4 linked regions of the Notamacropus eugenii genome follow. The protein of the gene in region 3 purifies or fractionates together with the protein of the main gene of each other region. This does not show direct contact. Links are inferred from orthologs where the notes say so. Each region holds a gene or a part of one and is shown on either strand. Other genes may lie near its edges.

Region 1 (7,607 bases), on a different chromosome or scaffold from region 3:
TGGATCATTGTACTGCTGAGAACAGTTAAGTCATTCACAGCTGATCGTCTTACAATACTGCTGTTACTTTGTAGCCAGTACATTTCACTTTGCATCAGCTCATGCAAGTCTTTCCAGGTTTTTCTGAGAGTATCCTGCTCATCATTTCTTACAGTATAATAGTATTCTATCATAATCACACACCACAATTTGTTCAGCCATTTCCTAATTGATGTGCATCTCCTCAATTTGTAGTTCTTTGTCGCCAGAATGCTATAAATATTTTCACACAATAGGTCATTTTCCTTATTGTTTTTTATCTCTTTTGGGATACAGACCTAATATGGTATTACTAGGTCAAAGGGTATGTATGCTTTTATAACCCTTTGGGAATAATTCCAAATTGCTTTATAGAATGGTTGAATCAGTTCACAACTCCACCAACATTGCATTAATGTCCCATGTTCCCACTTACCCTCCAACATTTGTCATTTACCTTTTCTGTACCATTAGTCAATCTAATAGGTGTGAGTACCTCAGAACTGTTTTTATTTGAATTTCCCATTAATAGTGAGTTAGAGTATTTTTTCATATGCTTATAAATAACTTTGATTACTTCATCTGGAAACTGATCATATCTTTTGATCACTTATTATTTGGGGAATGGCTCTTATTTTTATAAATTTGACTCAGTTCTTTGTTTGTTTGAGAAATCAGACCTTTATCAGTGAAACTTGCTTCAGTTAGTTACTATTGCTAACTGTATTTCCCTCCATCCTATTCCATCACCCCTTCCCCCCTCATTTATTCTATTTTCCAGTGCTGATTCAATCACTCCCAAGGCCTGCTCCTGGTTTGCTGAGGTTGGGGCTGGACTCTGTTTCACTCTCATCCAAGTGGAACAGAACTTTCCTGCTGACCTTCTAAGTTGTCTTTGGCATCTATGGGCTGAGAGGTCTGGAATCTACCTCTGCTGCCAGTGATTCGTAACCAAGACCTGCTCCAGATTTGCTGGAGCTCAGACTGTGCTTCTCTCTCACCCTGGTGCAACAGACCTTTCCTGCTGACCTCCCAAGTTGTCTGGGGCTAGAAATTTGTTTCACTTTATCATTTTGTGGGTTCTGTTGTTCTAGAATTTGTTTAATTTTTAAAGGTATTTGGAGGAGTTTAGGGAGAGCTCAAACAAGTCCCTGCCTTCACTCCACCATCTTTGTTCTGCCCCCTGAAATCTCTTTTGAAAAATACTTCATGCTGGGATCAAAAACTATTCACCATTTTTTCAATAAAGAAAATTTTTATGCTGTTTTTCAGTATTGTTCAGTCTTCTGCACCAATGAAAGGACTAACACTAATTAATAAGGATAATGGAAAAGTACAGAAGATCCATTTAGATAATCTACCTAATCAGGCAGCCTCTACCTAGCAATATGAGATGGCAGCCATCTGGTTTATGCTATTCTGCAGCATATAGATTTTTTTTAAACCACTGCTGAAGAAGTATCTCTCACAGCCTACTTTACGTACTCAGAATTTTCTTGACTTGCCAATTCACACATGGTCAGGACTAGTCATTAATGCTTTCTGGCATTATAATTATTAGCTGTACCACTCTGATCCTTGGTCATACCCTTCACTTTCCATGTACTAGTGTGCTAGAGTATACTTGGAAGACATTAGATTCTGTTCTTTGGCTAAAATTTTCCAAAATAAGAAATTTTCAGCGAGGCTGTGTCAGAGATTCACTAGCCTTCAGGATTTTCCATCACAAACTATTTCTGGGGTATGAAGCTAGGCTGTGGTAGATAAAAGTTCAGCACAGTTCTTGTAAATGCCTACCTGAATTTGATGAATTAATGAATAGATGAAGTGGAATTCTATCTCTCTCTTTTCAGAAGAGATTGAAACTCTTCAGCTACAGATATAGACAACGCAGATTTATAGAGCACTGTGACATTTTCAAAGTGTTTTCCCTACAACAATCCTGAGGAATAAGTAGTGTGGGTACATCACAATTTACCAATGAGAAACTGAATCCTAGTGGCTTGCTGAGGATCACAAGATTATTATTTGAGGCAGGATTCAAGTCTAGGTCTTCCGACACCACATTCAACATTTTATCCTATGCTGCCGCTCAGAAAATTAGGCATCTGAAGTGCTAAATAACCTATCCCCACTTCCTTTGTTCCTCATTCTAGACACTAGTTATTACTTGGTGAATGTACCTGCCACAGACTCATGGAGCCAAGTTGACTCAGTTATGGAAATCAGGGACTCTATGCCTGGGGTCAGGGTTAGAAATCATCTCCAAAGTGGGGGCTGGTGCCTCTGAGAAGTCATGGCCCAACCCTAAGGGGTGTGTGATCAGTCATTTGGTGGGTACCAAGATGAATCAGATCCTATCCTTCCTGTGTGATGATTTTTTAAATTAAATTATTTTATTTGTTTTCAGTGTTCTATGTCTTAGATTTTTTCCCTCCCTCCCCCTCCTTCTCCCCTCCCTCCCCACTTCATCCCTGAAATGGCATACAATTTTATACAGGTTCTATACATACATTTCTATTAAATACATTTTCACCTTAGTCATGTTGAATAGAAGAATTAAAATGAATGGAAGAAATCATAAAACAAAACAAAACATAATACAAAAGAAAATGGTCTGTTTCATTCTGTGATCAAATTCCACGGTTCTTTCTCTGGAGGTGGAAGGCATTTCACCTCGAGTCCATTGGGAATTTTTAAAATCCTTATATTGCAATGAAGTACTAAGTCTACCAGAAAAATGCCTCATACACTGTGGTTGTTGCTGTATAAAAAGTTCTTCTGGTTCTGCTCCTTTCACTCAGCATCAGTTCATATAAGTCCTTCCAGTCCTCTCTGAAGTCTTCCTGTTCATCATTTCTTATAGTACAATAGTATTCCATTACATTCACATACCACAATTTGTTCAGCCATTCCCCAATTGATGGGCATCCCCTTGATTTCCAGTTTTTGGCCACCACAAAGAGAGCTGCTATAAATATTTTTCTACACGTGGGACCCTTTCCCATTTTTACGATCTCTTTGGGATACAGTCCTAGAAGCAGTATTGCTCAATCGATGGGTATGCAAATTTTTTATAGTCCTTTGGGCATACTTCCAAAGTGGATCAGCTCACAGCTCCACCAACAATGAATTAGTGTTCCAATTCTCCCACATTTATCATCCTCCTGTTTTGTCATGTTAGCCAATCTGATAGGTGTGATGTGATACCTCAGAGCTGTTTTGATTTGCATCTCTCTAATCAATAGCAATTTAGAGCATTTCTTCATGTGGCTATAGATAGCTTTAATTTCTTCCTCTGAAAACTACCTCTGTGTGATGATTTAAAAGGTTCAAGAGACATAGTTTCTGGGTAATTTAATCACTTTATTAATAAGACTAGTGCATTATTAATATAAGGATGGTCATTTGGCCCTCTTTTAGAACAGAGACAGTCATGGCAGCAGGCCCAGGGTTATAAATAATCATCTCTCTCTCCTGCAGTAGTAGTTTGTCTCTAACACAACTATTCTAGCTTCATGTCTCCCCTTCAACTGTTCTGGCTTCTGATCTCCCCTCTTCTGACCCTGGGGTCAAACTCAAAGAAGGTGGCCACTAAATCACATAAGGATTCCAGCTGACCTGTGTTAACTTAGAAAAATAATATATTATGGTTGTTCTACTGTATTTTTATCATGTTAAATACTTCCTGGTTACATTGTAATCTGGTTGTGGCCTCACTTGGAAACATTGTAGCACCTTTGCTCCAAAGAATCTCACTCACTTTCCAGGGGTGATGGGGAAGTCTTCAGCAGAGCAGTCCTTTATATTCAGGCTTTCCAGCTCCTAGTTCAGTGTTCTTTATAAAATTATTAATTGGCAGAGAAACAAACGCATGCTAAAGCAGTTAAGGAATAGTTTGCTTTGAGTTTTAACATTAAATTGCTTGTTGAGGCAACATGGTGTGGTGACTATGGAGCCTAACTCAAAGCCAGAAAGAGCATGACACTTCGTGGTTGGGAGACTAGCATATCACTTCACTTCTCCAGGCTCTAGGCTAAGAGTAAGAGTTCCCAAAAAAGTGTTGACCTGCATTGGTAGAGTGACCACCCCTGCCAGTCGGGAGCTCACGATTTAACGAGGGAACCACTCACAAAAACCCACCCATCTAGGGAGATACAGACAGGATAAACTGGAGATAATCAATAGAGATCCACAATTCTCCATCTCCCGACCTGGTGTCTTTGCATTGGCTGTGCCCCCCGTCTGGAATGCTCTCCCTCCAGACTCGGCTCGAGTGGCCCCAGCTGCGAGTGCCTTCCCCGCTCAGCTTGCCCTGCTTTTATACCATAGGCGCCTCATAAGGACGCAGTCACTGACACGCACCCTAAGGTGGGAACTCCTGGACTGCCAGGACCGTGTGGATGCGGCCCAACACAAAGAAGGCGCTTAATTGACGCTGGAGCAGCGCCTCCAGCTCCGTCACATGCGACCCGGTGGTCCGAATCATCCAGCTTTAGTAGGGAATAAATAGGGAGAAGGAGTGGGGAGGAGGAGCCTTCGCTCCACGTGCCGCACTTCAGGCTGCGCAGCCGCAATCCGGACCACAGAAGGGAGGCTGGAGGGGAGGGACCGGGGCTGCCGGGAGCCCGTAGCCGCTCGTGACGCCATCTGGAGGCGTCCGCTTGTGACGCAATCGGGAGGCGCCCGTGCCTTTCCCGGCGCCTGGGGCTCCTCTGTGGCAGCTTGGCACCGGCACGCGGAGCATCATGAGCTGCGGCGGCTTCCTCCTCCTGCGGGCGGCCGGGGTGGGCTCCGGCCGGGTCCTGGGCACCCTCCTCCAGCGGCCGCGGACGGCGGGCAGCCTGCGGCGGCACCTGCGCACCGGTCCGCGGTGCCAGTCCTACGCCAAGGATCTGTTCCTGGGGAAGATCCAGAAGGTAACGGCCGGCCGGCCCCGGCCGGTGGGGAGGGGGCCTGGACCTCCCGGGCCCTCCTGTCTAGCCCCGCTGTTGGCCAGCTGTGGGAGCCCGAGCCAGTCCCTTTGCCTCTGCGAGCCTCGCTTCCCTCATCTGTAAAATGGGCAGGAGGCAGGCAGCAGTCCGGGCTTGAACCCGCGCTTCGGGGACGGGCGTGGTGCCACGGCTGGACCGCTCCCTCCCCTCTCCGGCAGTCCCGGGGGCCCCCGTAGTCCGAGCGATCCCCAAGGTGGATGTCACGTCCAAAGCCTCTGCACCTGCCCTTGCCCGTCCCCCAGCACGGACCGCTCTTCTGAGACCTTTTAGAGACCTTGGACCAGAAACAAACACACACGCACCTTTATCGTCGCTATCCTCTAGCTGAAAGGTAGCATTTTCTTATAAGGTCTGAAAATATTCGGAGAAGGGGCCCATAGGCTTCACCAGACTGCCAGCAAAGACGAAAAAACCCTCATCTCCTTTTAAAAGTCAGGAACCAGGCTGAGGAGAGGGGAAGGGATTTGCCCACCTTCACGTGGTAAATTAGTGGCGGGACTGCGGGACGAACACAGACCTGACTTTCAGTCCGATAATCTTTAAAACAAAAAATTTTTTCCCTAATGTTTTTTTCTTACCCCACTTCTCTCCCCTGACAGCCACCCACAGCAGCAAACTGAATTCAAGGCTGTCACTGTTGGAGAAGTCTCTACCCCCTACTTCTTCATCCATCCCGAGGATGCTGCCAGATAAAAGTTCACTAAGTACAGCTTTAAGCTGTATGTACTTTTTCTTAATCCATTCTAAGTATAGTGCTTGATAAATCTTAAGTACGACTTTAAATTCATCCTTGCCTTACTGACAACACCTTTAGTGGTTCTCTACAGCCAATTGATTATATAGTTCCTGCTTAGATGAGACTATAAATGTATGTGAATATTACCTCCTTCCAGTCAGGGTGTAATCTGTCCACTCCCATGAATCTTGTCTATGTCTTACCAGGATTTTTAACATATAGGTGCCCATTGCAAGCAGCTTAGGCTGTCCTTGACTCTTACTGTGTAAAATCGCAGAGCTAGACTTAGAAGAAATCTTAGAGGTCATCTAGGTCAACCTCCTCCTTTTAAAGATGGGGAAACTGGGGCCCAGGAATGTTAGTCATCATCTGAGGTGAATTTGAGCCCAGGTCTAGAGTCACTGCTAACATAGGATTAAGGCAATTTGATATGAAACTTAACTAAATTGATATCAGCTCATTAAGGACTACTCTCTGGTTCTAGTCATTAAACTGGTTCTGAATCTGAATAAATCACCTAAAATGTTTAGTCTGATCCAGAGGTGTCTAACTCAATTTGAATGCTGCAAACCACATTAAATGTAATTGAAAATGTTAAAATAAATAAAAATAAAATATAGATACTACAATTTGTGATTTTCCAATTCAGTATGTGGCTATAGGGTTCCATTTCTGTTTGAGTTTGACACCACTGATGCAGCCTGTACCACTCCATCTTGTCCACAAGGGGCCTTGTCCGTAAGAGGCTTTTGTTAACATGCTTTAAAGTCTGAGTTTACTGTGCCAGCTAGGTGATGAACTAGATAGAAAACTCAGTCTGGAGTCAGGAAGAACTGAGTTCAAATTTGACCTCAGATACTTACTCGCTGTGTGACCCTGGGTAAGTCACTTCCCTGTTTGCATCAGTTTCCTCTTTTGTAAAATGAGCTGGCAAACCACTCTAGGATCTTTGCCAAGAAAATCCCAAATGGGGTCACAGAGAGTCGGACGTGACTGAAATGCCTCGGCAGCAGCAGCAAACACTACGTTCATGGCATTCCTTTGGTTTATCATTTCAGCTGCCTTGTCAGAAACAGGACAAGATGAGTCTGGCACCATCTGTTCTTGATGAAGCCTAGCTAACTGCATCTTCCCTAAATGCTCACAGAGCAGCACTTGTAATGGCATTATAGGATTCTTCAATAATCAAAGTCAAGCTCCCTCATGTATAATTGACAGATCTCTCTCTTTTCCCTGCCTTTCTCTCCCTCCCTTGCTCCCTCTTTTCCTCTCTCCCCCCTCTTCCTTCCTTCTCTCCTCTTTCTTCCCCTTCTTCCTCTCCCTACTTCTCTTTCATCTCTCCTCTCTCCCCTCTCCCTCTCTCTCCTTTCTCTCACTCTCCTCTCTTCTCTCTCATTCAGCATTTTCCCTTCTCCAGTTTTATTCCACCTGTACTTCTTTGATCAACCATTATATCTCCCCATTATTCCATTACCTGGACTGAACCTGGTGACTTGAACTTTCTAAGAACACGTAGAAGCTGTCTGGCTGTATCTTCATTTATCTTGCATTTCTGTTCTCTGGTAATTATTTTTGTGGTCTCATCTTTATTCAGCAACATATTATACCTTAATGATATGTAAGGGTCATCTTGGACAAAAAAGGCATGTAACTTTATAGAACATAGATTGTAATCTTATATGTGGGCTCATCTAATGTCCTACGATTCTAAGAAAAGCAGCAAAAGTCATCGAACTTAAGTGGGGCAACCTCAAACAAGACAGGACAGGTCACATTGACATACAGCTTGGACCCATTTGGCAGAGTATTATTAACAATAATAGCTGCTGGGAGAAAGGTATTCACAAGTGGCCTGATAA
Region 2 (7,728 bases), on a different chromosome or scaffold from region 3:
CACACACAACATACCTTCATATCGGTGCACATACAGACACAAAAACATCTTATATCTAGGACCTTATCCCATCAATGTCCTGGCAAAGCAGAGGACAAATTTGGGCCAGTCCATCCTCCATAGGATTGCTGAGGATCTCCAGCCCTTCTTCTTTCTTCCCAATAAATGCTGACTATTAGAAGGGCTCCCCACTCCTTCCCTAGATACCCAGGACTACATCCCTGTGAGGCAGTCCCACCTTAGGGGCTTCAAAGAAAGTAATGGGGACATGACTACCAGGATCACAGATCTTCCAGCTCTAAGGTGAAGATGTTTCTATTCCTGACGATTCACCCCTGATGTAGGTGCTGTGGTTCAGGTACCTCTCTTTCCTGTCCTGGCTATTAGTTCTCTCTTTATTAACAGTGGGGAAAATGAAGTAGGAGATCCTTCCAGGTTCTGATACCTTCAGGGTGCAAGCAGCCTGTAGCATTTTTCTGAAATATAATCTCAACCCTGCTCATTTAGAGGAAGAGCCAGGATCTGGGTCTACCCATCTACAGTGCTTGGTGTGCACCTGTTTTCAGGGAGGATCAAAGGGGACTCCAGGCAGAAGAGTGGAGGAAGGTAGAAGAAGAAGCTGATATCACTTTGAATCTGAGCTCTGGTGGATTGGAGTGGAGAGCCCTGGGATGTCAGGACTGGAGAGCCTGTCTAAGATTGGAGGTGGACTAAGGAGTTCTTGGGACACTGGAACTCCTAAAATGAGGAATTAAGAATTCCTGGGAAATCCTGAAGGTGGAGGGTGTGTGAAGATTTAGGATTAGGAGAATCTGGAACGAGGGGCTGTGGGAACTTAGGATGGAGGTATGTTAGAAAATGTTGGGAGACAACTCCCTGCTTCAGAGAGAGGGGTGCTGGTGGTTGGAAGACTGCGGGTACCAGTGGTGCATTTTTAGGTGTGTAGATTGAAGGAGCCAGGACAACCTGAGCCGATGGGCATTGGGTTGGGAAGACAGATGAAGTAAGTGGTGGGGTGTTGGGAGGAGGGGAGGCCGCATAGGTTCCGGGAACAGATGACTCACTGCTGTGGGCGGGATGGACCAGAAGGGTCATCCAGCACGTCAGGATTCAAAAGCTGGGACTGCAGAAGCATTACCCGGGAGCCCTGCCCTGCCGCCATACCAGCCAATCCAAATCGGAGGACACACCTCTCACCATCTGGAGCAGGGATACCCTTGACTCTCCAGGGAGCTCCCAGTGCTGACCTTGGCGTCCCCCTCTCAGGAATTCTGGCTCCCTGCCGGGTACCCATGACTACTCTTCTTGAAGATGCTGGCCCAACTGGAATAGCCTCAGGGTCCCAAGAGGCTTCTGGGGCAGACATTGCCAGCTGCCTGGCCCTTCCTATCCTTTTTTAGCCTGGGGCATCTGGAGTATTGGGGAAGCTGAGCCTTGGATCTGAGAGGCTGAAAGGATTTGAGGCCCTCAAAGGTTGTGGGATGAGGAGGAAAGTGAAGTGGAAAGAGTATTAGGCTAGGAGCGTAAGAACTCCCCCCACTGTTGACTCCCATCCTGGTTCAAGCCTCACCTTTGCCACTGAATTTCAGTTTCCAGAATTAATCATTCAACAGACATTTATTGAATGCTTACTATGTGCCAGGCACTGTGCTGGCGATACAAAGACAAAAGTGAATCAATGCCTGCCTGCAAAGAGCTTACATTCTAACAGGGGATTCAACATGTGTGTAGGTACACAGCTATGAACATATGTATACATGCATATACATACATACATACATACATATAGTATACAATATACCTAAGGTAATTTGTGAAAGGAAGGCACTAAGAATTGGGGGGCCCAGGAAAAGCTTCATGTAGATGATGGTTGAATCTTGAAGGAAACTAGGAATTCCAAGACATAAAAGTGAAAAGGGAGAGCACTCTAGGCATGAGTAAAACAGCCAGTACAAAGATATGGAGATGGGAGATGGAGGTTATGTGGGAGGAACATCAAGTAGGCCAATATGGTCTCAGAGAGAGAGCGGAGTAAAGTAATGTAAAATAAGACTGGAAAGGCTGGAAGGGACCTGTTTACAATATTTAGATTATTGTGTTTCTCTTTTCTCTGCCAAGAAGAACCTTTGCACCCAATACAGAAGAACAAATATAGCTAGTAAGGCGCTCATACCCCCAAATAAGCCAAAAGAGAGTCCTTAATTCCCCTTGGTGAATTCAAGTTACCTGATGATCCAGATGAACTACATGTCTGGGTCCTGAAAGAACTGTCACATGTGATGGCTGAGCCTCTATTAGTGATTTCTGAAATGTAACACTTCCTCTGGGACCACTTGCCTAACTCCCACTTGAATTGACAAGTCTGGTCCTTCAGAAGGTAGCTGCTAGTGCTACGCCTCAAAAGGTTCTGGGGGAATCAGAAGCCCTAGGGTTTCTAACACAGTTGATCCTGAGCCCCCACCAGTGTGCTTCATGGTTATTTTTAGCCAGTATCCTCAATTACATTTAGCAAGAATATTTACTAAAAAGGTATAGTAAAAACAGTTGGTAAAATATTTTCCTCAGATGGACTAATAGGGCACACCCTCCCTTTGCACACACAAGGTCCTTGGGAAAGTGAGCTCAAACTTAAGAGCACAGTGGTGGTGAGGCACCTGGTTACTAGAAGTTCTTTCTCCCTTCATGGATCCATCATGAAATTCATAGCAGGGGATGGTCTGAGTGATGGTTGAGTTTACCAACACGACTGGCTTTTTGCAGGGCTCTTCTGGAAAGGTCAAGCTGCTACTAGGCTGAGCCAGTTTGCTGTTGGGTAAGCCTCTGACACTTGAGGTTACTTTTCTGCTGGGTCTGGCCACTTCTCCATTGTTGTGGGTACTCTCTCCTCCAGTTCTGCTCAGGTGCCAAGGGAAGGAAAAGCATCAGCTTTCAGTCTACAGGTGTACCAGAACATGTATTGCTTATACCATCTCTGCCTAGGTATCTCCACCTCAAGCCTAAAAGTAGGTAACCTTGTGACTCCTGTACTTAACTGTGTATCCAGCTCTTTTGTACTGTGCTGGTGAAACTTTTGATAGGACCTCAAACTCTCCCTGATCCTGGTAGCCTGAAAGTGGGAAAAAGAGAGAGACACTTTTCAATTTTGTTCTCTTTTCTACTTTGTTCTATTATCTACTTTGTTCTTTGTTCTCAAGGGCTTTTCTACCCCCTTATTGGCTTGCAGTAGGTCTATGAAATTTGGAAGTAGTTTGCTATTTTGTATGTAGGTCTAGAGGCACATTTGATCATTTCAGGCAAGCCTATACTGTTTCCTGTGCGGCATCATTTGCCTTTCATCAAATGGCCAAAGCCCCAGGATCCTTTCGAAATGATAAAAAAGGCTTGTCCACACACATTTTCATAAAGGTTTAGGAAAATTCCTTTATACTTAGTGTACTCCATTCGGTGATTAATTCATCGTTTGGGGGGCCTCAAAAGTCCAAAACTAAACTCATCATTTTTCACCTTAAACTCTCCCTTGCTCCTAACTTCCCTATGACTGTTGAAGACAGCACCATCTTCCGATCCTTGACTCTCTGTGTTCAAGCAGTATTTAAAGGATGGATGCAGAGGAGAGATTGGACTAGTGTGGTTTATCCTCAGAGGACAGAACCAGAAGCAAGTTACAAAGAAGATAATTTAGACTAGATGTCAGGAAAACTTTCTAATGATTAAGATTATATAAAAGAGTAATGGGTACCACAGAGGTGGTGTTTTCCTTATCCCTGGCAGTCTTCAAGCAGAGAATGGATGACCACTAGAAAGGTATGTAAGGATTACATAAATTGGATTAGATGGTCATTGACTTCTCTTCCAACTCTCAGATTCTGAAATTTTGTGAAATACCCAAAATGATCCCAGAGGTAACATAAAACCACTGGAGTTTATTGAATGGTGTGTGTGTGTCTGTGTGTGTGTGTGTGTGTGGATTGAAGGGAATCCAGGATTGAAGTAGAGAAATAAAAAGGGAAAGTTATTGTGATCCTCCAGGGTAGAGGAGATGGGAGCCTGAACTAGGAGGAAGGAGACAGCATATATAAAAGAAGATGTAGGGATGGAAAGGACAACCGAAAAATAGGGATAATGTCTGTAGCACTTGCTCATAAGGTCGTTGTTTGGGTGGGGAAAAAAACGACCTCTTTGTCATCAACATCTGTGATTACTGCTGTCTCCTATCCCTAAAAAAAGAGGGCGCACAACTGGAGTCTAAGGTGACTTGGGGTTCTACATCCTACCAAACATATCAACTCCTTTGGACGCCTCGGGGATTCAGCTGTAAACTGGCCGAGGGCGGGGCTCGGAGAGCCCCGGAGAAATGCGGAAACCCTCCATCCAGTGTTTCTCCCCGGATCTGTCTGTCCATCAGGGCTGCACCGGGGCTGGGTCCCTATCAGTCCTGGCAGCCACGGACCGGAAAGACGCTGGGCTCATGCTCACTTATCACCACGCAGCCGCCTCAATTTCTACCCATTTCGCAGATGAGCAAACTGAGGCCTAATGGGCCTGACGCGAGGAGCGCAGAAGCCAAGAGATGCGCACGCGGTGGAAGCCCCTCCAAGTGCAGCCTGCGCCGGAAACGGCCTTCTTGCTTAGACCTGGGTAGGCGGACCTGGGGCGGGGTTTTCAAAAATGGTGGGCGGGACTATCTAAATGACGTCTTCCCATTGGCTCCTGATCTTGAAAGATTTTTTTTTTTTTTTTTTTTTTTCCTCTGAGAAATCCGGTCGCTCTCTGCCGGGCGCCCCGTGACCTGTGACCCGGAAGCTCTGAAGACCAACATGGCTGCTCCCAGCCATACCGTCTAGTAGAGCCGGAGACTGCTGAGAAGCGCTGTGGCTGGGAATCGCCGTCGCGTAGCTCGAGAACCGGCCCGGACGCCGGCCTCCGGATCCCGGCCCGGCCTCCGAGCGCGCTTTGCCACAGGTCTGCGGACATGGTGACCTTTTCCCCTTGGATCTCGTTTGGGAAAGGGAGGAGTGGGGCGGCGTGTGTTTGTGTGTGTAAGTGTGCGAAGGAAAAGTGCCCACGCGTGAGTATACGTGCGTATTGTGTCGTGTGCATGTGGATGTGGATGTGTGGCCCTCCAAAGCCCCGTCCCAAACCCAGGCCCCAGGCTAGGCAGGAAGCGCGCGGTGCGAGTGGGGGGAGGGGCGGGGGAGGCTGAGCCCGTGAACCCCGTGCCCCAGCCGGCGCAGGCTCGAAGCTGTCCCCCAGCCGCTCTGTGCTAGCCCCGGCGTTGTGGAGGTGTGTCGGGCGGGCATCAAGCGTGTATGAAGTGCTTGTTGTGTGCTAGGCCCTGCACGCCCACGGGGACGCCGAGAAAAGCAAAAACAGCCTCTGCTGTTATGGAGCATGGCGGGGGCGCCAACCCGAAGCTCATTACTGAGTACATGGGAGGGAATCTCAGAGGGGAAAGACTTTGTGTAGAAGAGGGCTTTCAGCTGAAGCTTGAAGGAAGCCAGGGAAATTAAGAGGCTGGAGTGAGGAAAAACAGCATTCCAGGTTTGGGAGGCAGCCAGAATACCCTCATTGAGAAACAGTAAGGAGTACAAAGTAGTTGGGTCAGAGAGGTGGTTGTTGTGTTTGTCCTTTGTTCTGGAAGAGGACCGTGACATCAAGATGACATGACTTGCAGTTGACTTTGTGTGCAAGGTCACCAGCCTCACTTTCTTCTCCTGAGACATCCGGGTCTGATGTTCATCAGGATGACTGGAGATGGCCCAGGATGCAATGGGAGACCCTGGCCCTTTTAGGCTAAGGTCTTATCACATTCTCACTTTGAGTGAGATATACCCATTCAATGAATAGGCTTCAAGTAGTTACTCCAGGGATGGCCTTTCTAATAACAAACAAAACAAAACAAAAACAAAAAGAGAGTGGGGGAAGACCCTTAGGGTTCCTGGGTAAAAGAGAAACAGTTACTATTTAATATTTACATTCACTCAGAGAGGTAGACTAGAAAGGCAGGAAGGCACCAACCTATGAAGAATTTTGAATATTTCATCCTGGAGGTAATAGGAAGCTACTGAAATCTGTTGAGGATGTAGATGTGACCAGGTCCAGCCTTCTCTTTAAAAAGATCACTTTGACCATCAAACAGAGGATGGATTGGGTTTGTGAAAGACTTGAATTAGGAACAAACACCAGTTAGGAAGTTATTGTAATAGTCTAGGCTTAAGACTGTAAGAACCTGAACTAATGTAATGCTGTGTAATTGGGGAGAAAGGGATGTACGGGAGAGAGGCTGTGAAGTATAGAAGTGATAAGATTTGGCAATGGATTGGATATGTTGGAGGAGAGTGGGATCAAGGAGTACTCTAAAGCTGGGAGCCTAGGTTAGTGAGAGGATGGACACACCCTGGGCATTGTAATAGTATCAAATATTGGAAGAGAAGAGCATTTGAGGAGGGAAAGAGGATAATTCTGAGGGGTGTGTTTGTGTATGCATGCACGCACACGCACGCATGTGCACACGCACACATGTGCATGTGCACGTGTACAGGGAGGTTTCCAAGGCCATTCTCTGGGTCAGCTAACCACATATCCTTTCCTTGGATTAGGTAGGCATCTGGTTGCCATTAATTCCTGACCATGGCCAGCAACAGGATGAACTGCGTACGGAGAGCTGTCCTAGCCTGGGATCACTCCGTGGGTCGCCCCTTCCTTTCCAGAGCTGCTCCAGGGCACAGCCCTTGGCAGCTGGAAGGAAGCTGCCTTTTACAGGTAGAAGGGATGGGGTAGGGAGAGAGATCACCTACTTGCCTAACTTTGGATAAGCCATTTAAGCTCTCTTGGCCTTCTCTCAGAGGTCCTCTACCTCCACATCATTGTTTTACAGTGTATAAAACCATCACCCCTTCCAGTTTTTCATCCTGTTTCCCTCTTTTCAGGCCTGAGTAGGTTGGGGGATAGGAGGAGGCACCAGGTTCCCTCTGGTTGTGCCCCATTCACTTGCCTTCTTTAGTTCCATCTAAAACTGACTCTTTAGTATAAATCTTCACGTGGCCGTTCAATTTTGGTGTCATTCCTGGCTAGCATTTCCTTCAGCAAGTTCTGTTGAATGTTTAACAGTTTCTCAGGCCATCCGTACTCAGAGAGACTGAGAAAAATTAGGAATGGAAATCTGAAAATATAAATGGAAAAGAACACAAATGTCCTCAGCAAACATAAAAAAAACTTTGTGTTGAAGATAGAAAATCCTTTTCCTAATACAGATGTTGGCTATCGTGGGAAAGAAGGAGGAGCCCGTAGATGTACTGGGAATCCTTGGTTAGATTTGGCAGTGGTTTGGATATGTTATATGAGAGAAAGTAGAGTCAATGATAATGCTTCAGTTGGGAACTTAAGTTAGTGGGAAGATGGAAGTTCCCTTGACAATACTATTGAAAGATTTTGGAGCCTCAGGATTACAAATTGGGGAGAGGAAGGAGAAGGCTTGAGTTTTTTCAGAGCCAGCTAGGCTCTTTTGTAGATAACAAACCCCAGGACCAAGTATTCAAGTAAGGAACTGAAGTCCAGAGAGGTTGAGAGCTAAGAATTCAAGGTTATATCTATAAATAACAACCAGAATGCAAATCTCATTTTTAAACTCCAGTTCCAGTTATCTTTCACCTGTAGTTTACTGCCTCTCCTTTAGGAAAGGAATGAGGTCCCCCCTAGGAAACCCCACCCGATGGAGGTAGGATAGGC
Region 3 (7,233 bases):
GAACTGGTGATGTTTTTCTATTTCCTCATATCTATATTAATATTGCTATAATTATATTAGTATTAGGCTATATTAATTATTTATGCTATAGCTCTAAACTGTTCATACATTTGCCTTTTCTGTAAATCAATAAAATATCCAGCTTCTTCTTCTCAAATGCATCTTATTGTAGGTGCGAATCTGAACCATAAATTTCCTTAATCATACATAATGGGACGAATCCGAATCCCTTTTGAAATCACAATATAGGTGGAGACCTAGACTGATGAACCAGAAATTGTCCAATGTCTAAGAAGAAGCTGACACTCTGGGACCTAGCCCCCAAGGAAACAGCCATCAGAGGGGAAGAAGTCAAAAGGGAGCAACGGGAAAGTTAAGGTGAAATAAAAGATAAATTACCAAAGATCTCACCAAGAAGAAAACTCAGACTTTGAACTGAAGAAGATAAGCAAAGGGGAAAACAACAAAAGGAAATGTGGCCTCTAGTAAACAAGTTCAGACATCTGTGAATAAATTCTATAAAACAAAGGAAAATGATACAGCACTTGAGACAGAGAACCTGTGGAATGTAAAGAGAACACTGAATCACAACTTGCTGTTTCTGAGTGGTTCAAAGGAGAAATGAAAATTATGAGAGCAGAATTTAAGGTTTGTAGAGCAAAAATAATGGGCACAATGGAAAAACTGGAATCTGAAATGGCAAGTCTCATCAAAGAAACAAAACAATAATTGAGAATGCAAATACATAGAAGTGATGGACAATTTAGAAGAAGAAAAGCAAAAAAACAATAACACTAAAGGAAAATATGGTCACTATCTAGGGAAAATATATTGATCTCAAAAATAAGATGCACAGAGATAGCCTAAAGACCCACAGGTGTCCCAGAAGAAAACTGCCTTGTAAACTGCCAAGAGTGGGGAATTTGTAGCCATGAGGCTACATGTGGCTCTCTAGGTCCTCGAGTCCTTCATATTCTGTGATGGATTCAAAGGGCCGCACTTGAGGACCGAGAAGGCCACATGGCCTCAAGGCTGCAAGTTCCCCACTCTTGGCCCAGAACTTCTGAACAAAGAAAATGAAGATCTATGAAAGAAATCATAGATCATCTCCAGAAAAAAACAAAAAACAAAACCAAGGTTGCAAACTCGAAGACACTACTAGTTAAATTCAACAATTCAATTTAGAAATAAGTTCTGCATACAGTCAGGAGAAAGACCTTCAAAATATGAAAGAAAAGAAATTCAAGTAACACAAGACCATTCTGCAACAACCATAAAATATAAGAGGGAATGGAGAAATGTGTTCCAAAGAGCATTGGAGTTCAGGATGCAGTTCAGGGTGACCTACCCTGAAAATTTTCATAAATGAAAACAGATGGACATGCAATAATAAAGAGGCATTTGAATCATTCTTAGAAAACCAGAACTAAAGAGGTTATTTGCTTCTTGAACGTTCCAGACAACAGAAATGTAGCAGGGCTGAATAAATTCGGTAGTCAGTGATAGGTACAGCAACAGCAGGAGCAACATAGTGATGCAAGCAAGACCAGAAACTCTTCTTCCTGAACATAAACAAGGAGACACAGGTGAAGAAAGAAGTCAGGTGGAGGTAACAATAGAGAGGCAGGCCTGGGGTGTTATGGTCAGAATCAGACAACTGTCTACAGGTGAATCAATGTACACTGTGGGACTTCATTAAAAAATGGAAAGGGAGGGAGAGGATCAAGGATATAGAGGGGAAGGTGTGCTATGCCTGAGTCAAATAAAGGGCTAGCAATGAGGAGATGACTCTTGTGGTCTCTCAGGAAGAGAAGCCTACAGGGGAATGGGTGAGGAGAGGAAAGGATTGAAAAGATTGAAAAGACTCCTTGCTTTTGTGGTGGGAGGGGGTTCCACTGATGATGCTTCTATGGGTGAGGAAAGTAGTTCTGTGATAGGAGATAGGGATCTTGTGCTGGGTGTCATTTGGGGGGATTTGGTGCTTTAAAAGACCATCTGTCCTGCCTTGGGAAGGGGGGAAGAGGTAACTCATGGGGACAACTGGCACCTGGGGGAGCAGGACAGCACGGCCCCAGAGAGGAGATTTTTAGATAAATGGGAAAAAAACTCAGGTAATGGGGGAGAGTAAAGATCAGTGATGAACTACATAATCAGGGATGGGGAAGGAGCTAACATGGGGCCACATCCTCTCTGACACCTTCAAGAATTAGCACCGTCCTAGGAGTGAGACACAATGGAAAAGGGGAATCCACTGGACAAGCTCTAAAGGGTAGTGAAGAAATTGCCAAGAGAAAAGAGCTAAAAATGAATAGCTTTGAAGTTTAGATTACATGAAAAATACTGAGAATAGAGAGTAACCGGATAATTATAGGGACTGTGAACCTGAGAATAAGGGTCTAGTGCAGTCAAAGAGAATGAATAAAGAAGAGAAAGAAATTCTCTTTGCCAAGAAGTGCAAAAATGAAATTAATGAACAAGACTAGTTGAATATGAAAAGGGGGAATCTACTTGCCTAAGGAGAAAAAGAGGAGAACAATTAGAAACAAATCAAGAAGAAAAAAGAAACTAATAAAGCAAAACCCTAAAGGGAAAGGGTTACAAGAGAGAAGGGGATCAGGGGTGAAAAGCCAGCTAGTGGGAATAGGGCCATCTTAAAAAAATTAAGTTAAAATAACTGAAGAAACATAGTTCTGCTTCCCACAGAAGTGGGAAAAATGATAAAAACCCAATATGAAATACAAATAGTGACAAATATAAACCCAGCTGTCATAATATGAACTCTAATGAAATAAGAATGATTAAATAATCTAAATCCTCTACAATCTTACAAGAGACACATTTAAAAATCAAAAGTATATGCAAAATAAAACTGAGGGGATGGGAAAAAAATTTACTATGTACCAACTGAATCCAAAAAAGCAGGAGTTGCAATTATGCTATCTGACAGCGCAAAAATAAACATTCAAAAAATAAAAGAATAAAGAAGGAAACTATACTACGCTGAAAAAAACTGTGGACAACAAACCAATATCAGTAATATGCCTTAGCGCCCGAATTCACATAGGAGACATCATCTGAGCTACAAGAAGAGACAGACAGTAACACAATAGTCACAAGAAACTCCAATATCTCTTTCTCAGTTCTGGATTAAGTTTAATAGATAAGCAGAAGGAAAAATATGGAAATGAAACAAATTCCTGGAGTAGCTAGAGGAAAATTTGTGAAATTTTCTAAATGGGACAGCAAAAGAAAATACCACATGTCACTTTTACAAAAACTGACCATAAAGTAGGGCACAGAAATATTGCAAATAAATATTAAAAAGCAAAGGCAGTTAATCCTGTATAGAAGATAATGCAACAAAAATAGTAACTAGTTCAAGGACCACAAACAAAAGATAACAACCCAAATAGAAACTTAATAATGAAACACTAAATAATAAGTGAATCCAAGCACAAATCATAGGAACAAATAAAAACTATGCAAAAGAAAATGACAAAGACGAAACAATGTTACCAACTTTTAGATGCAGCTAATTCAGTCCTCCACGGGAAAATCATACTCTTACACAGAATCAAAGCAGAAAAGGAAAGGATTAATGAAGTGCGTGTGTATTTAACAAAAATGAAAAGCAAAGAAATCTAAGATAAATATAAAAGAGGAGATATTAAAATGAGAGGAGAAATAGATAAGCTGGAAAGAAATCAAAGAAAGAATTAAAAAAATCAAAAGAGGGTTCTTTGAAAAGACTAATAAAATTGATAAATCTTTAGTTCACCTGATTAAAAAAGAAGGGAAGGGAAAATCAAATCCAAAAACTGGCAAACGTGCAGGGTTACGGCCAGTCCCATGCTAATAAAACTGAGCACACAAGGAGAGGGCTCCTGGGGAGCCAAGGGCGCTGCCCCTCCCCCTCCACAAGCTCTGGGCACACAGTGGTCGCTTAATAAATGCTCTATCTGATCTAGGAAGAGGGAACGAGCTTTGCCCCCAGCTTCCTTCTCATCAGATCTGCACCGGCAGGGTAACCCCTTCCTCAGTTTCCTCATCCGTAAGATAAAGGGTGGCTGGCTCACACACAAATTCCCCAAGGGTAGGGCTGCGGCGGAACGCGCCAGAAAAAGCGCACCAGCCCTTTCGATCGCTAGGCAACGGCGTCGTGCGCAGCCGCACCTCTGCGCCTCCAGCGCACCCCGGGTCATGGGCGGGACTTCCTGTCTGCTGGTGGGAAGAGCTTCCGGGTAAGACCCGAGAAGCCGGTAAGGGAGGGATAGCTAGAGTCGGAAAGGATCTTGGAGGTCATCTGTCCGGTCCCCTCTCAAGTTTTGTGTCTTTTTTTTTTTTTTAAAGTGATGGAGAAAGAAGTTTAGAGGCGTTAAGTGAGTTGGCCAGGGCCGCACAGTTAGTAACTGTATGAGTCGGACCTGGAAGCTCGGGCATCCGGACAGCCCTAGTCCGGCGCTTCTCAGGTACCCTTGTCCCGAGGCTGGTGCCCCAGAGGTGGGGAGGGCTGGAAGGTAAGGGCCGGCTCTGGGACAGAGGCAAAGACAGACAGGGGTGCGTGCGTGCGCGTGCGTGCGCGTGTAAAAGACAACGTGTGTGTATAAAAGTCGTGTGTGTATCCAGCACAGGCCCATGTACGTGGGGAAGTCACAAACTAGGTTTTTTTTATTTCTAGCCCATGTTTCCTTGTTGGGGTTTTGGTCTTTTTCTCCCTTTCTTTTCTTTTTTCTTTCTTTCTGTTTATCTCCCTCCTTTCCTTCTCCCTCTTTCCCTTCTTTCTGTTTCACTGGCCCTCTTTTTCTTGTTCCTTTTTACCTTTTTTCTTCTTTCCTTCCTCTCGCCCCTTCTGCCCCTTATGCTTTCATTCTGTTTCTTTCATTCTTCCCTTTTTTGTTTTATTCTCTCAACCCATTTTTCTCTCTGTCTCCATTTCTTCCTCTCTTTCTCCTTGTTTCTCTCTTTCTTCTTCTTTCTCTCCTCTGTTTTCTTTCTTTCTCCCTTTCTTCTTTCTCCCTCTCCCCATCACTCCCTTCCTACCTTTTTATTTTTGCCCCTTCTTTTTCTTATGCCTACCGCCAAGATCTCCATGGCACTAACTTTTGTCACTTGGCTGTGTTTTCATAGTTGCAAGAACTGGGATGGAGAGACCGCAGAAGACCTGTTTGAGAAGAGTATGGGAGGCTCTGGTGCCTTTCCCAAGGGTCCTTGCTGAGGAAAGCACCATTGCAACGGACTCGAGCTGCTCTCCTGAGAAGACTCTACCTCCTCACATTAAGGGTCCGTTTTACCCAGAGTCAGGATGGGACCGCCTCAAGGAGCTTATTGTCAGAGAGTAAATATAACGATTAATTCTCAGTGGTTATTAATAATAATTGTTCATTGGAGACGTTGCAGAATAGGGTTTTAGCCTCAGTGCAGCCTAACATGGCCTTAAGTAGAACTCTGAGATTCTAGTCTGTTTCTCATTCCCACCTACCACTTACTGAACTTTTCTTGACTGGTTGCTTGTTTTTGTTTTTCATATTTGCCCCCTGTGATTTCATTATAAGATATACAGACCTTGCAGGTCAGTAATTGTTTGACAAGCCTGTCTAAGTTTTCAAGTGGTAACTTCCAGGAATACTTAATAGCTTTGTTAAGAATAAAAGACTTTGAATCACAATTCTTTCAATACATTTACCTAACATTGTATGGCCCAGGAAACTAGAAAAGTTTCACAGGCTCATACATTATAGGAACTAGAAGAGATCCTAGAGATAATCTAGTTCAACCCCCACATTATCAAATGATAAAAAAGAAACCCCCAAAAATTAATTCATCTGTTCAAATTCCCACACAGAGGTGATAAATAGTAAAGCAGGGATTTATTGTTCTTACCACTCATTTTTGTCAGAATTTTGGTTGATCATCTGTGACTTATAGAAACATGGGATTTTGAAGTTGGGAGAATTATGAAAAGCAATAATTCCTTTATTTTATCTAAAAGAGTGAGGAGGCCTAGGAAAATTATATGTCATGTTAATTAGTAGCCCAGCTAAACTTCAAACCCAATGTCTTAACTCTTAATAGTAGTAGTAATAGTTACAAGAACACTGAATTTGCAATCAAAAGATCTAAATTCATATCTTGACTCTTGGGATGAAGGATGAAGACTATCACTTTGTGAATAAGGAGTCCCAGAGGGTAGAGGTGTGCGGAGATTAGAGATAGTAGAGGAGACCTTCCAGCATAGGTTGGGTGACCACTTGGGAATGTTGTAGAGCACAAAGGGTGGGCCAGTTGGTGTCTGAGAATTTCCAGCTCAGATTCTACTAGTCTTTGATTGTCCATATGAATTGGGCATATCACTTCTTTTTTAAAAATTATTTAGTATTTTATTTTTTCCCCAATTACATGTAGAAACAGTTTTTAACATCATTTTTAAAATTTTGAGTTCCAGATTTTCTCTCTTCTTCTCTCCCTATCCCCCTCAATTGAGAAGGCAAGCAATTCTATATATTATACATGTGTAGTCATGCAAAACATATCCACATTCATATTCTTGTGAAAGAAAACAACACAAAACTTCCAGAAAAATAAAGTGACAAAGTACACTTCAATCTGTATTCAGACACCATCAGTTCTTTGTTTGGGGATGGATAGCATTTTTCATCATAGATTTGTTTTGGATCATTGTATTGCTGAGAATAGCTAAGTTATTCACAACTGATCATCTTACAATATTGCTGTTACTTTGTATACAGTATTTTTCACTTTGCATCAGCTCATGTCAGTCTTTCCAGGTATTTCTGAAAGCATCCTACTCACTATTTCTTATAGAACAATAGTATTCCATCACAATCACATAGCATAGTTTGTTCAGCCATTTCCCAACTGATGGGCATCCTTCTAATTCCCTGCCACCAGAAGAGAGCTACTCTAAATATTTCTGTACATATAGATCTTCTCTCCTGGCTCCCTTTTTTAATCTCTTTTTGGATGCAGACCTAATAGTGGCACTCTTCACGGTTTATAGGGTTTATAAGGGTATTCACGGTTTTATAGCCCTTCAGGGATAGTTCCAAATTCCTCTAAATAATGGTTGAATCAGTTCACAACTCGACCAACAGTACATTAATGTCTCATTTTTCTCACCTCCCCTCCAAAATTTGTCATTCTCCTTTTCTGTCCTATTAGCCAATCTAATAGATATGAGGTGATACATCAGAATTGTTTTAATTTGCATTCCTC
Region 4 (7,917 bases), on a different chromosome or scaffold from region 3:
TCTTCTATAGGCATCCTTTCAACCTCATTATGTCAGTGGAGAAAGGTAATGGTCAAAGGGCCCCAGAGCACTTGTTGGTCTTAGAATCAGAAGCCTAGATTTCTAACACCACCCTAGCTCTGTGTGAACCTGAGCAATTAATTCCCTTAGAATTTTAAAGTAGGAAAGGAACCTTAGATATAGGATAAGAAATTTAAAGTTGGAAGGAATCTTAAAAGGCCATATAGACCCATATCCTTTAATGTTTTTAAAAATGAGGAAATGTGAAAGGGTTTGCTCAAGGTCACACAGGTAGACTCAGAGATTTCAGAGACTTGGAAAACCATACATTTAGAAATTGGAAATAATTTAGAGGCTATTAGATCCAAACTTCTCATTTTACAGATCAGGAAACCGAGTCACAGAGAGTGACTTGCTGAGGGTCATGCAGTTAGTAAGCATCTGAGGGACTATATGAACCCAGGGTCTTCCTCAGTCCAAATTCTGTGCTGTGTCATACAGTCTCTCAAGTAAAAATGGAAACATTTTGACCTCAAATTCAGTGCTATTTCTATCAAATAGGTGGTTATGATGTAGGTGCTTTATAAACTGCAAAGTGCCAGAAAATGTGAGCTGCCATTTTTTTTGTGTGTGTTTTACTATGGAAACTTCTGTGGCCTTGTTTTCCCGATCTGTAAAATGGAGCTCATGACAACTGCATTACCTACCAGAGCTAGGGTTGCAAAGAAGGGAACAGAATATGTACTGGCGTTGTTATTGCACATTATGCCTGGCCCCCTAATTCAAAGACAAACTCCACTTGCTGGGCCTGCTCTTTTCTCTATACACATTCTCTCATCAGTTCCTAGGTTTCGACTGTCAGTTCTATGCAGATGACTCCCAGGTCTACACATCCAACCCTCATGGCTCTCCTGAACTCCAGTTTGCCTCACAACCTGTTAGTTATCTCTCCTTGTATGCCCCATACTCAACACATGCAAGACCAGCATCTTTCCCCCTAAACCTCCTCCTCCTCCTTCCTCACTTCTGTTTTTGCTCAGATCACCACCATTCTTCTAAACCTTTAGGGGTGAAAGCTAGGAGTCAAACTTGACTCACCCTTTCTCATCTCTCTGCATCTTATCAGTTGCCAAGTCTTGGCAATTTCATATCCTCAAGAAGTCAAGAAGCCTAAGTGCTCCCTCTGGCATGAAAAATCCTTCGTAATCTGGTGTCAGATGGATCTATGGATCACAGATTTCATCTCCTGCATCCTTGCACTTGGAGAGTTCTTTCTCCTTACTTCTCTGCCTCTTGCCCCTCCAGAAGACTTTCCAGGTTCAACTTTACTGCTCTCTCCTATGGGATGACTTTCCTAGTTCTTACAAACTGTTTGTACTCATCATTGTGTCATTATTTTGCATATATTCTGCCTTTATTTATCAGTTGCCTAGTGGGGAAACCCTAGCCTTTGTGGTCTAGGTCTAGCCCTCTGTAGGGATGGGCTATAAGGCTTTGCTAAGCTTGGCTGGAGGTTTCAAACATGGGAAGTAAAGCTCTGTAGGTTGAGGGCTTTTAGACTAAAGCATGCCCACAAAATTTGAACTCTCAGAGGGCAAGGGCTGTCACTTCTGGTAATCCCAACACCTAGAACCCTGCCAAGTACACACATATTTAGCGATTGAGTCACTGGGGACAGGGAGCAGATCTCATACCATTTTGTTTTCCTAATGCCTTGTGTTAAGACGCAGTAGGTGTCCCATAAATATCTAGTGGTGTTTGGGCAAAAGGGAATTGCTGGTTTCCGTGGGAACCCCTCACTTTTTTCCTGCTCTTTTCTAGATAGTGCAGAAGATTTCTAGGGCTCTCCCCTAGATCTAGGAGACCCTGAGCTAGGTTGGCAGTCCTGGAAGTGACCCAAAGAGATACAGTACAAAGGCTTTTTCGTGCACCCTTTGCTTATCATAGGCATTAGAGCTCCGAGGGAGGTTTAGAGATGATCTAGTCCAACCCTGACATTTCTTATTTAAGGAAACAGGCCCTGGGTGATCTCCCTAAACCTCATGCCGCCTCAAAGCCCTGAGCCTGGCCTTCCAGCCCAGCAAGTTGGTAAACGCTAGTTTAAGCAGGGTCTAGCCTGCCATATGGATGGGCTACCTAAGGCCTTGCTAAGCTTGGTGGCTCACCTCAAGTGTGGGTAGTAAACAGGTAAAGGTGGTTACCTGGCTTAGGGCTTTTAAGCCAAGTTCAACCAGGGCTATTAGCTTCTTCCCCTGCTGTCTCTGCCTCCAGAACTAGGGCAAACATCTTTTTTTCCAGTGCCCTGCCCTGCTGTTAGACATCCAGTTCTTAAGATGCTGGCCATCTCACAGCTGGCTTCCTGAGCTCCGGGTCTCCCGGGAGGAGGGGCAGGAAGGGCCCTGGGGAACAGAACCCCAGCTGAGGTCACTCCGCCCCACCCTTCCCTTTCATTCCCCTCCCCCCACCGGCTAGTAAGTTTCCATTCCTTTTTTACCCCCAGTCTGCTCCCCGATCCCAGCAGGACTTGTAAAGAGGGCACAGTGATGACGGCGGGGAGTCTAAAAAGTTTTAAGTGTACGAAAGGGGCCTACGTTGGCTGTCCAAGGGCTAAATCCTTCAAATTACTCGCTCCACCACCCCGCCTATACACCCTTTCCTCCCAGGCTAGAGGAGAGGATGGAGTTGGGCCGACAGGCAGGCAGACAAGGAAGGGTGTGGGGCGGCAAAAGTCGCTTCTGCCCCTGCCCTGCCTGCGCCTCCCCCCTACACCCCCTTTCCCCCCTTAGCCCCCCTCCTCCTAGTCGTCCAGCTACCAGAATCCGGGGTTGCTAGCAAGAGAGCGAGTTTATTGTCGGGTCCAGCGGGGTGGAGGGAGGGCCAGCGCAGGTCTCGGCCAACGGTGGGACGCCTCGAGGTCTCCGGACTGCGCTCCACCTTCGAGTAGGGGCTCTGCGGGCTTCGGCATCTCCCTCCTGCCCGGCGGAGTGTTGGCACTTTCATTCGCTCCGGGCTTTCTGCGCGGCTGGACCCTCTTTTTTTCTCGCTCTGTCCCTAGCATCTTGGTCATGCCCCTTTTCTATACCCACCCCTCGCCCGCCCCCCCATCCCCCCCCACCGCCGGGTGCCGTGGGGGGGAGGGGCGGTCTCCCGTCTCACACCCGTAGACTGGGGGGGCGGGGGGGGGCGGGAGAGAAAGGAGGAAAGGAATGGAGGGGATGAGGTCAGGAGAGCTTCCCGCTCCTCTCCCCTGGGCGCCGGGCGCCCTCGTGCCTCTCCCCTGCGCGAGATCGAGGGGGAGGGTCAGTGAGCCCGGGGAGAAGGGAGGAGAAGGAGGAGATCGGGGGCCCCACGAGGGTGGGCGCTAGCAAGCCTCGCCGCGCAGCCAGCTGTTGCGGGCCACCTGCCCGGCGGAGGGTCGCGCGGACGGGCTGAACTGCAGCAGCTCGGCGATGAGCGCCTTGCAGCGCTCGGCCAGCTCCAGGCCGTCGGGGTAGAGGACGCCGCGCTTCTGGCGGCGGGGCAGGCCCGCGATGTCCGAGTCGTCGAAGGGCATGCAGCCGGTGACCATGACGTAGAGTACGACGCCCAGGCTCCACACGTCGTACTTCTTGGGGTCGTAGGGAATGCCCAGGAGCACCTCGGGAGACGCGTAGGCGGCCGAGCCGCAGTAGGTGGTGCTGAGGTCCGGGTAGCCGTGCGCCTGGCGTCCGAAGCCGAAGTCGGTGAGCTTGATGCGCCGCTCGTCCGGGCTCAGCAGCACGTTCTCGCATTTGAGGTCGCGGTGCACCAGGTGGTGGTCATGCAGGTAGCGCACGGCGCCCACGATCTGGCCGAAAAGCTCGCGCGCCTGGGCGCACGGGATGTGCCCGCTGCGCTGCACCACCTGCAGCAGGTCGGTGCCGGCGGCCTCCATGACGATGTACAGTTTTCCGTTGCACACTTCGATGAACTCGAAGACGTGCACGATGTGCGGGTGGCGGATGCCGCGCAGGATGGACAGCTCCCGGGGCAGAAACTTGTTGACGAAGTCCGGGGGGGCTCGCCGTCGGTCCACCACCTTGATGGCCACCGTGCCCTTGTACTTCTTGGAGGTGGCCACTTTGACCTTGGAGTAGCTCCCCTCCCCGATGGTGCGGCCCAGCTTGTATCCCAGCTCATTCAAGAGTTTGTCTCCAGACATGATGGACGGGGCGAGAGCGTCGGGAGGGTTTTCCGAATTTCGATTTGGGGCTTAACCCATGGCGCTTGGCACCCACAGACCTTGACCCCCATGTGCCCACTCCTGCCCCGGGGTTCCCCGCCGCCCTTTATCGCCCAGGTAACAATTTCCGCCTTGTGAAGTGACTGAGGGCGTCACGGGCCGCAGGGAGGCTGCCGCATGTGTCCTGGCTCTGCACGCCGGGGCCCGTTTTGTGACGTGATGGAGATGGAGATGCTGCCGTGGTAAGGGATGGCAAGACGCCCAGACCCGTAGCCTGGTTGGACGTGAGGCTGGGTCCTCCGAGGGATGTTGGGGACCGGCATCCCCAGGCAGGGTAACGCTGAGGCGGCACCCCCCCTTGGCGGCCATGGGCCAGGAGGTGCTGGGCCTTCAGAGCTGGCTAGCCCAGCCCCTTGTTTTATTAAGGAGTAAACTATGGGGAGCTCAAACTGGCCGGGGGGGGGTCAAGGTCAGCGGTGGGGCCGGTTTGGGACTGGATCCCTGCTGCGCTAACTCCTAGGGGCACCCCTTAAAACCCTAACGCCGTTAACGGAGCTGCCTCCAGAAGTGCTTTGCAAACTTTAAAAAGCTGCTTCAACGTCAGACGGTACTACCATTACTGGGCGGGTGCGCCAGTGGGTGCCGGAGGGGGCGTTCCTTGGCTCCACCCTCCCCTCTCCGACGTGGAGCGCCCGCCCCTTTAAGACCTTCTCTGCAGTAGCTTCCGCCACTCTCTAGATGGCGGAGCGGGCTCGCGCCCCTTGACGTCATTTCCGGCTTCTTCCGTCCGGCGCGGGTCCTCGCCGTCGGAAGTGCCTTGGGCTGGCAAGATGGCGGCGTCCAAGGTGAAGCAGGACATGCCCCCGCCAGGGGGCTACGGTCCCATCGATTACAAGCGGAACCTGCCCCGTCGGGGAATCTCGGGTCAGTGGTTCGTGGAGGAGGCGGGGCCCCGCTCTTACCCTTAGCGGCTTAGCTGGAGGGCCCCAAGCGTGGGGAGGGGGCAGGGCACCCCCGGCGCCCCGAGGTTGCCCGGACCGGAGCCCCTCGTTCCTCCCCATTCTTCAGAAGCCCCAGAGAGCTTAGAACACGGTGTCAGAGTCAGGAGCGCCCCTAGAACCCAGAGGCCGAGGAGTCCCAGGTTTCCCAGCGCGGGGTGATGGGCTTGGGGCTAGAGACGGAGCTTCTCAGACGGGGACAGCTGGTCAGCGTCTTCTCTTGCCTAGAGTCTTGCCAGCAGAAATGAGAAAGAGATCAGCGACCGTTCTGGGGTCCGAGCCCAGACTTTAAACCTGCAGAGGTCATTTGCTTAAACACCTGGTGAGGCTGAGAGAGTACGCTATATATACTCTTCTCCTGTCTCTCCATTTTATTTTTTATACGTTGTAGGGCACTGCCACTCGTGTAAGACTGTCACTGTAAGGGATTACCTGATCTCTGCAATCCTGCAGTGGATTTCTCCTTTCACTGTATCTACCAGTCGTTTGGAGATAACTGCACGTGTATCTGCCTAGCTAACTAGCTACTACTATTGGAAATATAGCTAGTAGTAGTGCAGTATAGGAAGATGAGTACCAGACATGGGAGGGGGGTGCCTGCAGGCAGGGGACTTGCAATCAGAAAGTGAATCTGAGTGCAGATCTTACTTCAGACACCTGGCTGTGTGAACCCTAAGCAAGCACCTTAACCTCTCGTTCTAATTTCCTCATCTGTGGCTGTGAGAATAAAATGAGACTATGTGGAAAGTGGTTTGAAAACCTTAAAGCGCTGTATAATAGCTATGGTTGTTCATAATGGCAGAAAAGAACAGTAATTCATTAGAAAAAACATTAGATAGACATCTGACCCAAGCACTGGGAAATGGAGATCCTAACCTAAGGAGGTAAATTTGACTTTGCATGCAGAGGACTCCCAGATATCTACCTAGACCTGCTTTCTATTACCAGCTTTATTAGACGGTTCAAGCTGGAAGACCTGTAAGATTCTCCCAATCAGCATGTCTGAAACAAAATTCATTCCTTCCCTAGTTACCCATGGTTTCCACCTTGGAGTCCTCATTTGATTTTTCCTTGCCCCATTATTTGCCGAGTCTTTATTCTCTCCCATATTTCTCTGAGTGTTCTTTTGCTTTGTTGTTGGGTTGTTTCAGTCACGTCCGGCTCTTTGTGACCCCATTTGGCATTTTCTTGGCAAAGAGACTGGGGATGGTTTGCCATCTCCTTCTCTGGCTCATTTTACAGATGAGGAACTGAGATGAACAGTGGCTTGCCCAGAGTCACACAGCTAGTAAGTGTGTGAGTCTTCCTGATTCCTCATCAGTGCTTTGTGTACTCTGGCACCACCTAGCAGCCCTGTTCCTCTTATTTCCAGTCGTAGCCACCATTCTCGTTCATGCCCTCCTCACCTCAATCTTTGGGCCCCTTGTCTTTTCATTGCTTATTCCATACCAACCTCCTGACCTGTATTCCTCTCATCATTTACCTCCATTTCTCTTACATGCTGCTGGTTGAAGCTAGAGGAATCATGCAAGTGCACTGAATGGGGGGACTACATATGTGTTACCTAACCTCAGCTGAGTCCTCACTGTAGTAAGGCAATCCTTTTTATTTCTTACTAATTGATTTCCTCTCACCATCCTCATTGGAGCTATAGCAGATAGCTCAGGCCTCCCAGACCTTCCTCTCCTCCTCTCTAAGATGACAACTTTACTTCTTTACTTAGAAAATTGAGGCCATTTACTTGAGTTTCCTCCTTCCCTTCTCTTCTTAAAGCCCCTTCACATCATCCCCTATTCTCTTTTCCTTTTCTCTAATCTCTGATAATGAGATGGCTCCTTTCCCCAAGTCTTAACCTCTACCTGTGCCCTTGTTCCCATCTTTGCCCTCCAGCTAATTGCCTTCTCATTTGTCAGCCTCCTCTGTTTGGTCTTCACCCTTTTTCTTAGGTCTCCTCCATCTTTAGAAATCCTCCACTAGACTCTACCACACCAGTTAGCTATGATCCTGTATTTCTCTTCCTCTTCTCAGTTAAAGTTCTTAGGCCATCTAAACCAGATACCTCTATTTCCTCTGCTGCTCCTGTCCTTCTTGACTCCAAACATCTCTCTGAAGTGGTCTAATTGCCAAATCTGGTGTTGTGATCTTTAGGCCAATTTGACTGGACCATCAAGTGTGTTTAATGTTTAAGAAGTGTAAGGTAGATTCTGACTGAAAAGTTTTAAATGTTTGATGGAAAAGTTTATGTTCAATCCTAGAGGTAATAGAGAGCCACTGGGGGGATGGGAAGAAGAGGGAGAGGGAGAAAGGGAGAAAGAGACAGAGTGGAGAGAGAAAGAGAGATTGATTTTGTGTGAGAGAGAGTGTGTGTGTGTGTGTGTGTGTGTGTGTGTGTGTGTGTGTGTGTGTATGTGTGTGTGTTGTGTTAGGACAGTTGTCTGTCCTGGTCATATCTGAACTTGAGGAAAATCATTTTGGCAGCTGTGTGGAGGAGGGATTGGAATGCAGAGAGACTTGGGAAGGAGACCACTTAGGAGGTTGTTATTGCAGTAATAAGTGAGAGATGATGGAAGACTTGAACCATCATGGTAGCTATATGAGGAGAGAGAGAGAGAGAGAGAGAGAGAGACGAACTCAGAGAGTTCTTATGGAGAAAGAAATGACAAGGTTTGGCAGATGATTGGCCACATGGGATGAGAGTGGGGGTTCAGGGATGGTGCT

The links.
Region 1: the proteins of TIMMDC1 (region 3) and ACAD9 purify together in Homo sapiens (affinity purification with mass spectrometry; 3 studies listed by BioGRID and IntAct, counting the BioPlex papers as one, with this or other methods). This does not show direct contact. The link is inferred for Notamacropus eugenii from reciprocal best matches to the Homo sapiens genes TIMMDC1 and ACAD9.
Region 2: the proteins of TIMMDC1 (region 3) and ECSIT purify together in Homo sapiens (affinity purification with mass spectrometry; 3 studies listed by BioGRID and IntAct, counting the BioPlex papers as one, with this or other methods). This does not show direct contact. The link is inferred for Notamacropus eugenii from reciprocal best matches to the Homo sapiens genes TIMMDC1 and ECSIT.
Region 4: the proteins of TIMMDC1 (region 3) and NDUFA13 purify together in Homo sapiens (co-immunoprecipitation; 3 studies listed by BioGRID and IntAct, with this or other methods). This does not show direct contact. The link is inferred for Notamacropus eugenii from reciprocal best matches to the Homo sapiens genes TIMMDC1 and NDUFA13.

Annotation. Positions count from the first base shown.
Region 1 is NC_092874.1:425,041,755-425,049,361, forward strand, and holds the start of ACAD9 (complex I assembly factor ACAD9, mitochondrial), read left to right. Parts: upstream 1-4,603; 5' UTR 4,604-4,766; coding exon 4,767-4,937; intron 4,938-7,607. UniProt on the Homo sapiens protein: As part of the MCIA complex, primarily participates in the assembly of the mitochondrial complex I and therefore plays a role in oxidative phosphorylation.
Region 2 is NC_092875.1:78,404,853-78,412,580, forward strand, and holds the start of ECSIT (evolutionarily conserved signaling intermediate in Toll pathway, mitochondrial), read left to right. Parts: upstream 1-4,724; 5' UTR 4,725-4,962; intron 4,963-6,599; 5' UTR 6,600-6,630; coding exon 6,631-6,762; intron 6,763-7,728.
Region 3 is NC_092876.1:346,696,149-346,703,381, reverse strand, and holds the start of TIMMDC1 (complex I assembly factor TIMMDC1, mitochondrial), read left to right. Parts: upstream 1-4,216; 5' UTR 4,217-4,517; exon of another isoform or gene 4,518-4,637; intron 4,638-5,127; 5' UTR 5,128-5,141; coding exon 5,142-5,335; intron 5,336-7,233.
Region 4 is NC_092875.1:55,807,263-55,815,179, forward strand, and holds the start of NDUFA13 (NADH dehydrogenase [ubiquinone] 1 alpha subcomplex subunit 13), read left to right. Parts: upstream 1-4,913; 5' UTR 4,914-5,031; coding exon 5,032-5,125; intron 5,126-7,917. Other genes in the region: TSSK6 (testis-specific serine/threonine-protein kinase 6), read right to left, coding at 3,362-4,180. UniProt on the Homo sapiens protein: Accessory subunit of the mitochondrial membrane respiratory chain NADH dehydrogenase (Complex I), that is believed not to be involved in catalysis. Complex I functions in the transfer of electrons from NADH to the respiratory chain.